Mus musculus: one gene and its partners. The protein of the gene in region 1 interacts with the protein of each later gene in a biochemical or structural test. Links are inferred from orthologs where the notes say so. Each region holds a gene or a part of one and is shown on either strand. Other genes may lie near its edges.

Region 1 (4,266 bases):
AGGAAAGGCTGACTTGGACTGGGTGGTAGTGGTGCACACCTTCAATCCCAATGCTCTGGAGGCAGAGGCAGGCAGAACTCTGTGAGTTAGAAACCAGCCTGGTCTACAGAGTGAGCTCCAGAACAGCCAGGGCTACACAGAAAGACTATGTCTCAAAAAACAAAACAAAACAAAACAAAACAAAACAAACAAAAACAAAAACAAAAACAAGCTGGGCTTGGAAGCGCAAGCCTTTAATCCCAGCACTTGGGAGGCAGAGGCAGGTGGATTTCTGAGTTCGAGGCCAGCCTGGTCTACAAAGTGAGTTCCAGGACAGCCAGGGCTTTACAGAGAAACCCTGTCTCTGAAAAAAAAAAAAAAAAAAAGAAAGAAAGAAAGAAAGAAAGAAAGAAAGAAAGAAAGAAAGAAAGAAAGAAAGAAAGAAAAAGGCTGACCTCACTGCCCGGTGTGGTGGCACACGCCTTTAATCCCAGCACTCGGGAGGCAGAGGCAGACGGATTTCTGAGTTCAAGGCCAGCCTGGTCTACAAAGTGAGTTCTAGGACAGCCAGGGCTATACAAAGAAACCCTGTCTCAAAAAAACAAAAAACAAACAAAAAAAAAAGAGGCTGACCTCAAACTCACTATACTATGTAGTCAACAACTTCCAACTTGATACTGCTGCCTCGGCCTCTACCTTCCTCTGCTTCCACAGTGCTGGGACTGAAGCTGTGCATGATCATGCCCCACGTTCAGTGGTTTTGAGGGTTTTTAATTTGGGGATTTTTATTTTTGATTGTTTTATTTTTATTTTTATTTATTTATTTATTATTTTTTTTTTTGAGACAGGGTCTCACTACTAAGTATCTCTGACTAATCAGGATAGACTCAAACTCAAAAGAGACCCACCAGCCTCTGACTCCTGGATGATCGGATTAAAACTGTGTGCAGAAACAGCTGTGCTTTGGATTTAAAGGATCAAAGGTATGTGTCACCATTCAGGATGAGGACTTATAACAACTCTAACACCAGCACTCAAGAGGCATAAGCAGGAAGCTCTCTGAGTCTGAGGTCAGCCTGGTCTGTGTGTCAAGTTTAGGGCAGTGGTGGCGCACACCTTTTGTTAAGCCCAGCCCTAGGGAGGCAGAAACAAGTGGGTCTCTGGGAGTTTAGAGGCCAACCTGGTCTACAGAGGGGATTCCAGGACAGCCAGGATTATACAGAGAAGCCCTGTCTCCTAAAGAAAACGAACAGAAAGTAACAACAACAACCACCACTCCTCAAACGCAATCTATTCTTTGACATCTGGGACTCTTGGAGAGACTCACTTAGGTAGTAAGTCCCAGTCAGAACAACTCCACCAGTTCATACTCCTCCCTATTCTCAGCGCTAGTAAGATCCCACGGCAGGGCTGTACTGACATTTTAAAGTTAGCCAGCAGCGACCGCTGGCCTTTACTTTCCTCTCCAAACACTACCGTTCCTTCCAAGGTACTGTACCTGGTACAGCTGACCCATCGTGGCACTGGTGGGTGGAATGACATTGTTGACAAAGAAAAACAAGGCATCTTCAGCACGGAGATGAATTCGCTTCCGGATCAAGAAGTAGAATTGACCAACTGCCAAAAACAGGAGATGCAAGCAAGTCACAGAGGTCGTAGGCGCCTCCAGAGAACAGCTGCCAGGTGAAGCCTCCTCCCACAGAGTTGGCAGGCCCACCCACAGAAAGAAACGTGCACCACAGGTCAAGCCCTCACCTGTAAGATCAGAAGGCACCAGGTATTTCTTTTTGTCCAGGTCTCCTATCCGAGCTTTGGGGGCTTTTTCCACTATCACCTGATAAAAGGTAAGAATGAGAAAAATGAATATATATATATATATATATACATACATACACATATATATGCTGCTATATCGATGAAGAACTCAACATACAATATTCCCTTTTACTGAAACCTACTGGAATCTCATTTCTCTAGTTATCCTTATATACGTGGTGCACACAGCATTAGGTCCAAAGCTCCTGGCCTCACTCTTACCTAAATATTGAGAACTGATCCTAGAACGGCGCATCACAATAACTATTTTCACCAGAGAATACAGGATGACTTGTTTGGGTCAAAAATCTACATTAAATCTAGCTAGTTGGGAGGATGGCCATGGAAACTCTGGGTTGTCAAGCTCACTAAGGCCTCTATTCTGAGAAATACCCTGATCTCTCTCTCCCGTCCACATCTTAGTCCCCAGCTCTACTTCAGGTGAGAGACCTCTGGTACCAGAGACAACAGAGTTCTAACCCCACGACAGACAGAGCCTGACTTCAGCTTTCCCAGACTCAAGCATAGCCTGTGGCGACAGCGTCAGCGACGCTAGCCTGGGCCCTGGCTACTGTCCTTACCGGGACCCGGTCTGGGTATTTCTTTCGGATTTTCTCGCCCTCAGAGCGGCGCTTCTCGAACGGATGCTCCTCTTTGTACACGAACTTCATTCTCCCGAGAACCGGGCTGGACCGAGCTGGGCTGAGGGAACCCAGGGGGGGGGCCGGGACAGGGGGCGGCGGCGGAGGCGGCTTCGACGAACAGACTTGGCGGAGCGATCCACGAATTTGCGCCACTTCCCTATTCATCAACCCCGCCCCCGACCATCGGACCGGCCCCGCCTGCTAACATACGCCACTAGCTCAGCTTGCTAGCGCAACCCGTAGCCTGGTCCTCTTACGCCTTCAGCGTAACTGCTTTGGAATCAACTTGTGGGTTACACATATGACATCGCAGATAAGGTTGCTGTTGTTTCGAGTGAACTGAAAAACCCTTTCCCACAGTACAAAGTTGAGGACGAAACTGGTACCCAGTGGCAGTCATGAGATTTAGTTCTGCAGTTCTCGGAAATTACGTTGGGGAAAGGCAGACAATTACAAGTCTAGGATTTCATGAGACGTGTTTCTACGCTGAAGGTGGCCGTTGACACCAAAACAAAGTAGTACCCAAGCTGTGGATATGGACACCATAAGACAGAAAGGAAAGAGGTTTGCAGACACCCAGGGAATGCTCAAGGCTCAGGCTTATGTGAACCAAGAGAAACTGCAAAAGCCCCAAAGATAAGGACTACACCAGAGCGGAGGAACACATTTCTGAGTGTAGATAAAATCATGTGACCTCAGAAAAGGGCGGAGAATCACGTGGCGGGTGGCGAAAAGTAGTCCCGGCTCTGGAGAGGAGGTGCCAGGAAAGAGGGTTCCGCCCCAGGTTACTGCTGGAGTGCCAACACCTCGTAGGCAGCGCCCTCTTAGCCTGTCCACGTCAACTTCCCAGACAAGCCCAGCCTTTCTCCAGCTGTATGCCCTTCCAGGGTTCTAGAGTTTTCCCTCTTTAGCCTTCTATATCCTACTTTAAAGTTGTTGGTCCACTGTCCATCAGGGACTCCATCCAGTCAGTGGGGCCTTTCCTGCCGAACACTGAACATAAACTACTTTATCCCTGTGCTAAATCCCACTTCCCCCCAACTCCAAACAGCATCTTCTCCCTCTGCTTCAAGGACAGAGCAGATGTCAACAAAGTTCCCTCCATTTCCAAAAACATCAGAGAAGGGTCTAGGGCAGCTTTGGTTTCAAAGTTATAATGCATGGTTTAAAAGAGGAAAGAAGAAAGGAGCCGATTACAGGTATGGGGGATTGGGGAAAGAAAAAAAATGAGGAAAAGTAAGGGGGGGACAAGTCTGAGGAGGATCCAGTGGCCCGAAACCCCAGTCCCCACCCACAGCCCAGCCCTTGGAGCAGGAGTGAAGAATTAGATCAGTTTTGTATAAGAGTTTTTAAAAAAATCAAATCACAACAAAGTTGAATTGGCTTCTTTTGAGCCTCTGGGATATGTCTGTCACTCTGGCCAGTCCTGCCTCTTCACCAGACTGTTTCGGCTCCTCTAGGCCTTCGCCTGTCCCAGTCTGGCATTTCCACGGAGTGTGAACCCAGAGTGAGGCTGCTTCACGGTCTGGCCCATGTGTCCATCCAGACTCCATAAGTGGAGTGTAGGGCTCCCAGGGCAGAGGGGTGGGAGGGGCAGACTCTGCCCAGGCAGTCCTCACATTGGACAGGGCAACAGACGGTGTCCCAAGAACTCTCCCTCCCTTTCCCCTCCACCCCAACTCAGGTGGAGGGGGAGCAGCTGTCACCAGAGCCTATGTTGGTGAAGGTTTCGGCTCAGCACCGATCGGACATCAGCAGTGAACCTGAAATGACAGTAACTGGTGTTGGTGAAATACCTTATAGTTGACACCCTCACAACACTAGCACA
Region 2 (3,564 bases), on another chromosome or scaffold:
CAGGCCTGGGCGGCTCACTGTGCACTGCTGGTCCAGAGTCCGGTCTCTGGTTGACTAAAGAGAAGCAACCACAGACATGCATAGAATATTCTAATTCAGCCAGACCTAGGTGAACCTGAAACTCCCTAAGATAAAGCTTTAAAATTCACCCTGTCTTGTCTTGGGAGAAAACAGTGTGTAATTAAACAAGGCACTACTTGGAACAGGATGTGCACTGTAAAGAGACAGAGATGAGACATTAGCCATCAGCATGGCTTCATGGTGGCTCTGAGCCATGGCTCCTCAACTGGAATCCATCACCTCTCTTGTACTGCAGACAGAGTCACAGGGAGAAACAATCACGAATGGCTGATAACTGTCCTGCCTGAGGTAGTGGCTCAGAGTGACCCTGACTGGGGCAGGAGCCACAATCTCTACCCTCTGTCCTCTGTTCCTGTGCACTGCCTCATTACCCTGGCTGTGCTCTGAGGACTTCAGTACAAAGCTGCAAGCATCTGTTACTACCTGGCTACATGCACAAGCTGTTACTCCTAATCTTCCAAACAGGGGCAAATCCCAGGGTTGTTTAATGCTATAAAAACTTCAATGTAATGAAAAGACATGGCTGCCCTGCTTGGGGGCTCAACCCTGTTGGATGGCACCCACTGACCAATAGGACACCTGCATGTTCTAGCACCTTATGAAGATCATTAAGCCTCCTTCCTCACACCAAAGGAGATAGCAGCTTTTCTCTATGGTGGGAGAAGCCAGTCATTCCAGAGAGAGAAACAGCAGAAGGGGAAACAGGGCAGTTCACAGAGCAGGTCTGCCGCTGAGCCCTGAGAGAGGCCTATTCCTGCAAGCTCACTAGGCTGCAGAACCCAGCTAGAGGCACTGCTGACTGCCTCACATTCCACTGGCCCATCAGTGAGCATGCTCAGAATGGGGGTGGGGGTTCCTTGTCTAGATCGTCAGATAAAAATACACTAGGCACAGTTAATAGGTCAATTTCAGATAAACAAGAATTTTTTTTCCAAGCAGCTCTTGACTACTGTAAAGGGCTATCTATGTATTTAAAAAAAAAAATCAAAACCAACCAACCAACCAAACAAACAAAAACCCCCAAAAGAACACTTGCTGTTTACCTGAAATTCAGTCTGCAGACAGTGTGACAAGCCCGTGCCCTGCCCTGTCTGCAGAGTGACAGGGAAAAGGAGGCCTCTGGATCATCGGAGGACGGCATGCAAGACTACAAGGGGGCTGGCTACACGGAAGATTCCTCAATCAGCTTGTCACAGGCTGTGGCCACATTTATGCAGTGACTGTGGCTCAGCCATTCAGGTAAGAGTGCCAACATGGCTCATAGTGGGACAGTTCCCCTCCCCACAACTAGAGAATGCTCTTTATTAGACAGTCTTTAACCAGCACTGTGTAGCCAGGGCAGGAACACAGAGCCCGACTTACATCTCCTGGAGCCACCACATCATTGCAGAAGTAGCAGCCAAGCTTGTATCCAGGGATGTTGGCAAAAAGTGAGGAGCCCAGGTCAGCAGGTGCTACAAGATGGCTTGGGCAGAGGTCTCCGGCTCCCTGCTGCTTGGGTTTCTTCAGGCCATGTCTCATGACAACAAAGGTATCAAACCCCAAGGCAGCGTTGATGACCAGCTGTTAGCAGTGAAGGAAGAAAAAGGAGTCAGGACAAACACATCTCAGGCCAAGGCAAAGTTCACATGTGGCTGGCTACCTTCACATTGCTTTCTTTTTTCATGTGAGTGTAACTAATCTTTAATAGCCATATGAAACATGCAAGAGACTTGATAAACTGCTAAGATAAACCATCTCATTTAAACCCTTTACAAATATTGTCAGTTTATAGATGAGTATGTCAACGGTCAGAGTTCCACCTGTGTCCCAGGATTATAGAGCTGATAGGAGGGAACTATGACCAGAAGTTGGTGGTTGCCCACACCACTCTGCCACACCCTCTTAGTTCCTTGGAAAGCTTCACTGGGTCACGGTTTGTAAGCTATGATTTTCCCACCATGTGGAGTTTTTCTTTCCTTTTTTTCGAGACAGGGTTTCTCTGTGTAGCCCTGGCTGCCCTGGAACTCACTCTATAGGCCAGGCTGGCCTCAAACTCAGAGATCTGCCTGCCCCTGCCTCCCAAGTGCTGGGATAAAAGGCGTGCATGCACTACCACCAACTGGCTTACCATGTGGATTTTAAAGGGAAGCCTCCTTTGTACTTTAAGAATTCCTCTTGGTTAGGATTTAAGTCGTTCTCCCAAATTTTTGGTTATATACAAAGTTTGAAAGAATCAAGAAAAGGCACACTGGAGAAGAGAAAATTAAAACCGCAGCTCTGGGGGTCTAGAAACTCTGAGGTATTACCTTTTGTACCTCCTCTCCCCTTCCTGCTTTGTCCTTTGCGTCGTACATGATAGACAGAAGGTGGATGATAAATGACCGACAGACAGATGAGGGGTGATGGCGGTAAAGGCAGACATGCATGTTATTATATACAAGTGTAACATAACATTCATATTCTATTTTATCTTGTAATATGGCATTTTCTTATTACCATTCTTTGAAAAGCTTCCTGAGAATGGCTATATAAACTTAATTAAGTATCACAGGCCCTTGAACTTCACATGTACCAACGTTAGCACTTGCAAAGGACTGCTGGGTTAGGAAGCACACCCATTGCAGGTTGATGGCAGGAAGTAAAGAGCTCCAGGGCCACACAGGTCACCCTCCTTCCTGGGGGATGGTGGGCTGTGGACACGTCTTTCCTGGGTGGCTCATTAAGTTCCAGACAGAGGTAGCATAAGACACACTCCACCTTTCGCTTGCTGGCTGCAATAACAGTAGGAAGCCACCGGCTCTCCCTGGTGTCCATTAGCAGGAAGATGACATCATGGTTATCAATGAGCTGCTCCAGCTGCTCCACATCTCTGCGGGCCTGCTCCATCGTGACGTCAGAGAAGTTCACAGGGTGTCCTGGCATGGGGATGCTCATGTTGAACCCTCTGGCATTCTGGGGAAGCAATGACCCCACTTACATCAGTTACATTATAGGAATTCCTCTTTGCACAGTGCTACCACTCTTTTCCTCAAATACCTGGGCTCTGCTCTGCACCTTCTCCAATTCCCCTGAGCCGTGTGTGTGTGTGTGTGTGTGTGTGTGTATCTATCTGTCTGTGCATGTTTCTATGTATCTGTCTGTGAATGTGTGTGCACATGTGTCTGTGTGTCTCTGTGTGTACATGTGTCTGTGTGTGTGTGTGTGTGTGTACATGAGTGTGTGTGTCACTGAGGATGGAACTCAGAGTCACAGGAGCCGCACAGCCAGAGATTTACCTTCCACAGAAGGCAAAGGATGAAAACCGCATCTCAATGCTCTGCATGCCACTGGCCACAGGCAAGTGTGAAAACATCAGCTTTCCCAGAGTGGCCAAAACACTGACTGGAAAGATGGCTGGGGGTGGGGTGCAGGTTGGAAAATTCAGGAACTAAGTGGCAGAGCTCAGACTCAAAGCAACATCTTCATGGGCCCATGGAGGTTCATGGTTCTCTCCAGTGACAG
Region 3 (3,564 bases), on another chromosome or scaffold:
ATGTCTACATTTGTGTTTTCTTGAGAAACGTTTAGTAATTCTTTTAAAAGAAAATTTCCAAATGCTTTTTGCATACAGAGTACTTTGAAATTCATGATAAAAGCATGGCTTTTATAAACCTTAGTCCTGCACTGCCCTTGACTAGTTTAATCAGGATCTCTGGGGCCAGGTGTAGGTATTGCTACCTTGTACAGCTTCCGTGCTGCTTCTGGTGAGCACAGAGATAGAGAATTCCCAGTGCAGCACTGAGCACAGTAGCTCAATAGCGTTTCACTTACGAGACTGACTTCTAAATAGTGAGTTCTGAGTTACTGAGGGTCAGGAATGACAGGGACAGTTTCTTCCCTGACCCGTCTTCTTCACCCTTCCTCCCAGTGTCTGTACAAAGTGCTTACCTACTGCACATTTTTCCTCAGAGAAAGTGTTGAATTCCAAGACCATCCGTTCCAATAGCAGTGGCCTGTCCATCGGAACTGGTAAGCAGTGGAGCCCCAGGGACCAGCTTGGTCTTTGGGTTGAGAGGAAAGGTTGTATTTTGGTGAGTGTTGAGGTTTTGGCATTGTTATCAGGGTGACTTCATCTTCTTGCCTGCATCACATACTTGTGATACAGTTAAGAGACTTGTTCCACATTGTAATGGGACATTTGTATTCCTTACCATCCCATGAGCCTTTACTTCCATAGTATTCCAGGCAGTCTAGTCTTTCTATAGCACTTGGGAGGCAGAAGCAAGTGGATTTCTGTGAGTTTGAGGTCAGATGGTGCATAGTAAGACCCTGTCTTCAAAAACCAAACAAAATTTACCTTCAAAATAGGCCCTCTGAAGGAAAAGTCAGTTACTAGCTTTCAACTTAGGAAAATCAGCCTAAACCCTCTGGTAGCTTTCCACCTGTGAGAAGTCATGGATGTGCCATTATTTCAGAATCCATCTTCTTATTTTGGGGAGACTTAAGGGGTGCTTGGCTCAATGCTGAACAACTTTTTACATAAGACAAATACTAGTGGAGGACACTTCAATGTATTTACCTGCCAGAGATGCACTAAGATTTAGAAAATAGACATGAATTCTGGTGATTGTAACACATACCTTTATGTAAGCCTGGCATGGTGGCACATGCTTATCATCCTAGCACTAAGAAGTAGAAATAAGTGCAGTAGTAAGGTCAGAGGTTCAAGGCCAGCCTGGGTGGCATGAGGATCCTTCCTGTCTCAAGAATTAAAATTTGTAAACTGGGTGTTGGTGGCGCACACCTTTGATCCCAGCACTTGGAAGGCAGAGGCAGGCGGATTTCTGAGTTCCAGAGGCCAGCCGGATCTTCAGAGCAAGTCCCAGTACAGCTAGGGCTACACAAAGAAACTTTGTCTCAAAAAGCCAAAATAAGGAGAGAGAGAGAGAGAGAGAGAGAGAGAGAGAGAGAGAGAGAGAGAGAGAGAGAAGAGAGAGAGAAGAGGAAGAAAAAATGTAGGCCCATAAGATGGCTCATGATGAAAGGCTTATACTGCCATCATGACAATTTGAGTTCAGTCCTGGGACTCACGTGATAGAAAAAGAGAATTAACCTTTACAGTACAGTGTATACACACATGCCCACATCCACACACATAATAAATCAATGTGATAACTTAAAAATACTGTGGAGCTGGAAAAACAATCCAGCAGTTAAGAGTGCCTGTTGCTTTTACAGAGAACTGGGGTTTGGTTCCTAGCACTCAAATGACTGCTGACAACCATCTGTAACTCCAGTTGCAGAGGATCTGACACCTTCTTCTGGCCTCCAAGGGCAATGCATGTGCATGGTACCAGACATACATGCAGCTGAAACCACCCATACCCATAAAATTTTTTTTAAAAAATCTTTTTAGAATAATTTTTACAAATTCAAATGCTATCTATGTAAAAACAATTTAGTCTCAAATATTTGTTTGAACGTTCCACTTTGTGCAATTCTAGGACCTTCTGTGGGGGTGAATGAGGTGTCAGATGCTAAATCTCTGTGGCCTAACGAAGCTCTTTCTTTCCTATGCTACACATCTACCAGTGGTTCAGAGCTCCAGCCCAGGAGGTGGCATTGGTGGTGGTGGTGGTGGTGGCGGCGGCGGCGGGGGTGAAGAGGAAGACAGTCAACAGGAATCTGAAACTCCAGATCCAAGCGGAGGCTTCCGAGGAACAATGGAAGCAGACCGTGGGATGGAAGGCTTAATCAGTCCCACGGAGGCCGTGGGAAACAGCTGTGGGGCTAGCAGCTCCTGTCCTGGCTGGCTTCGGAAGGTAATGCCCTCAGAACAGATGCTTCAGATAAGCCTGTGACAGGAGCTAGTGAGGGCTGCCAAGGTCTCAGTTTCTAGTGCCCTACTAATTGAGACAGGAGTCAAGGCTTCACTTTCCCACCCGTGAAGACATCTGTGTTTTGTTTTAAAACGGGGTCTCAGTTTGTAGTCCTGGCAGGCTTAGAACTCAAAGAGTTCCACTTGTCTCTGTTTCCCAAGTGCTGGGACTAAAGGCAGCCTGGAAGGAGGCCTCAGTGCCTTGCCGTCAAGCTTCCTGACCAGCAGACAGTGTGTGTAGAATTGTGTTGGGAAATGAACCAGATACAACTTGCTGAACTTGAGCTAGCATCGCTGAAGTTTGGTTCCAGGTTAGGCAATATATGTGGTCAGCCACCATTCTGTACCACTAGAGGGCGCTGCTGTCACAGCAGCGTGAAAGTGAAAGCTACAAAGACCGTGGGAGAAAGGAACTTGCTGCAGCCAAACTGGTGAGATTCTTTCTTGTCTGCCTAGGAGCTGGAAAACGCAGAGTTCATTCCCATGCCTGACAGCCCCGCTCCCTTAAGTGCGGCGTTTTCACAGTCTGAGAAGGACACGCTGCCCTATGAAGAGCTGCAGGGACTCAAGGTCGCATCTGAAGTTCCTCCGGAGCCCCAGCGTGCAGCAGGAGCCTGGGTAACTGACAGTGGCTGTTTGTGCCTGGGCTCTCCTGGCTTCATCATGTCCTCTCACTTTCGGGGCCAGTGCTGCACTGTCCTGGCAGTTGCCGCTCTGCCTTCCAGCACAAGAGGGTCATTTCTTCCTTTCTTCCTCAGGAGTACTAAGCTGAACCATGAATTTCCAAATGGTCTTTTTGTTGTGACGGTTTGTTTCTTTATGGGGCAGGTTCTGTAGCCCAGCCAAGGATGGAGGATGACCTTTAACCTCTGTTACTCCTGCCTCTATCTCCCTCCCAGATGATGATATAGACATGTGCCACACACCCAGTTATGCAGTGTGGGGTCCAGCCCAGGGTTCTCTACATGCTAAGCAAACTCTTCACAGATAGCCACGTTCCTAGGCTCCAAACTCAGTTTTAATGGCACCATGAGTGTTAGCTGAGCTGTATGTAAGAAGCAATGCCTGGAGTCTGCTGAAAGAACAGCATACAGCCAGCCTGGGTAGAAGTGAAACTGTAAATCAGTTCTAAACCAGAGGGCACCACAGATCTAGAGAAGCCACGGCATCGTCACATGACTTTGTGGGCTGTTTAACCCTTTGCAGCTACAGCTCTGACGTCATAGCACAAAGCAGTCA

The links. The genes of interacting proteins can lie anywhere in the genome.
Region 2: the proteins of Gabarap (region 1) and Atg7 form a complex in vitro, tested with the Homo sapiens proteins (2 studies listed by BioGRID and IntAct, with this or other methods). The link is inferred for Mus musculus from reciprocal best matches to the Homo sapiens genes GABARAP and ATG7.
Region 3: the proteins of Gabarap (region 1) and Nek9 form a complex in vitro, tested with the Homo sapiens proteins (2 studies listed by BioGRID and IntAct, with this or other methods). The link is inferred for Mus musculus from reciprocal best matches to the Homo sapiens genes GABARAP and NEK9.

Annotation. Positions count from the first base shown.
Region 1 is NC_000077.6:69,989,912-69,994,177, reverse strand, and holds the start of Gabarap (gamma-aminobutyric acid receptor-associated protein), read right to left. Parts: upstream 2,809-4,266; 5' UTR 2,466-2,808; coding exon 2,376-2,465; intron 1,814-2,375; coding exon 1,735-1,813; intron 1,597-1,734; coding exon 1,478-1,596; intron 1-1,477. Other genes in the region: Ctdnep1 (CTD nuclear envelope phosphatase 1), read right to left, coding at 4,141-4,201. UniProt on the Homo sapiens protein: Ubiquitin-like modifier that plays a role in intracellular transport of GABA(A) receptors and its interaction with the cytoskeleton.
Region 2 is NC_000072.6:114,705,584-114,709,147, reverse strand, and holds part of Atg7 (ubiquitin-like modifier-activating enzyme ATG7), read right to left. Parts: intron 3,016-3,564; coding exon 2,821-3,015; intron 1,645-2,820; coding exon 1,444-1,644; intron 55-1,443; coding exon 1-54. UniProt on the Homo sapiens protein: E1-like activating enzyme involved in the 2 ubiquitin-like systems required for cytoplasm to vacuole transport (Cvt) and autophagy.
Region 3 is NC_000078.6:85,304,842-85,308,405, reverse strand, and holds part of Nek9 (serine/threonine-protein kinase Nek9), read left to right. Parts: intron 1-416; coding exon 417-476; intron 477-2,039; coding exon 2,040-2,269; intron 2,270-2,781; coding exon 2,782-2,943; intron 2,944-3,564.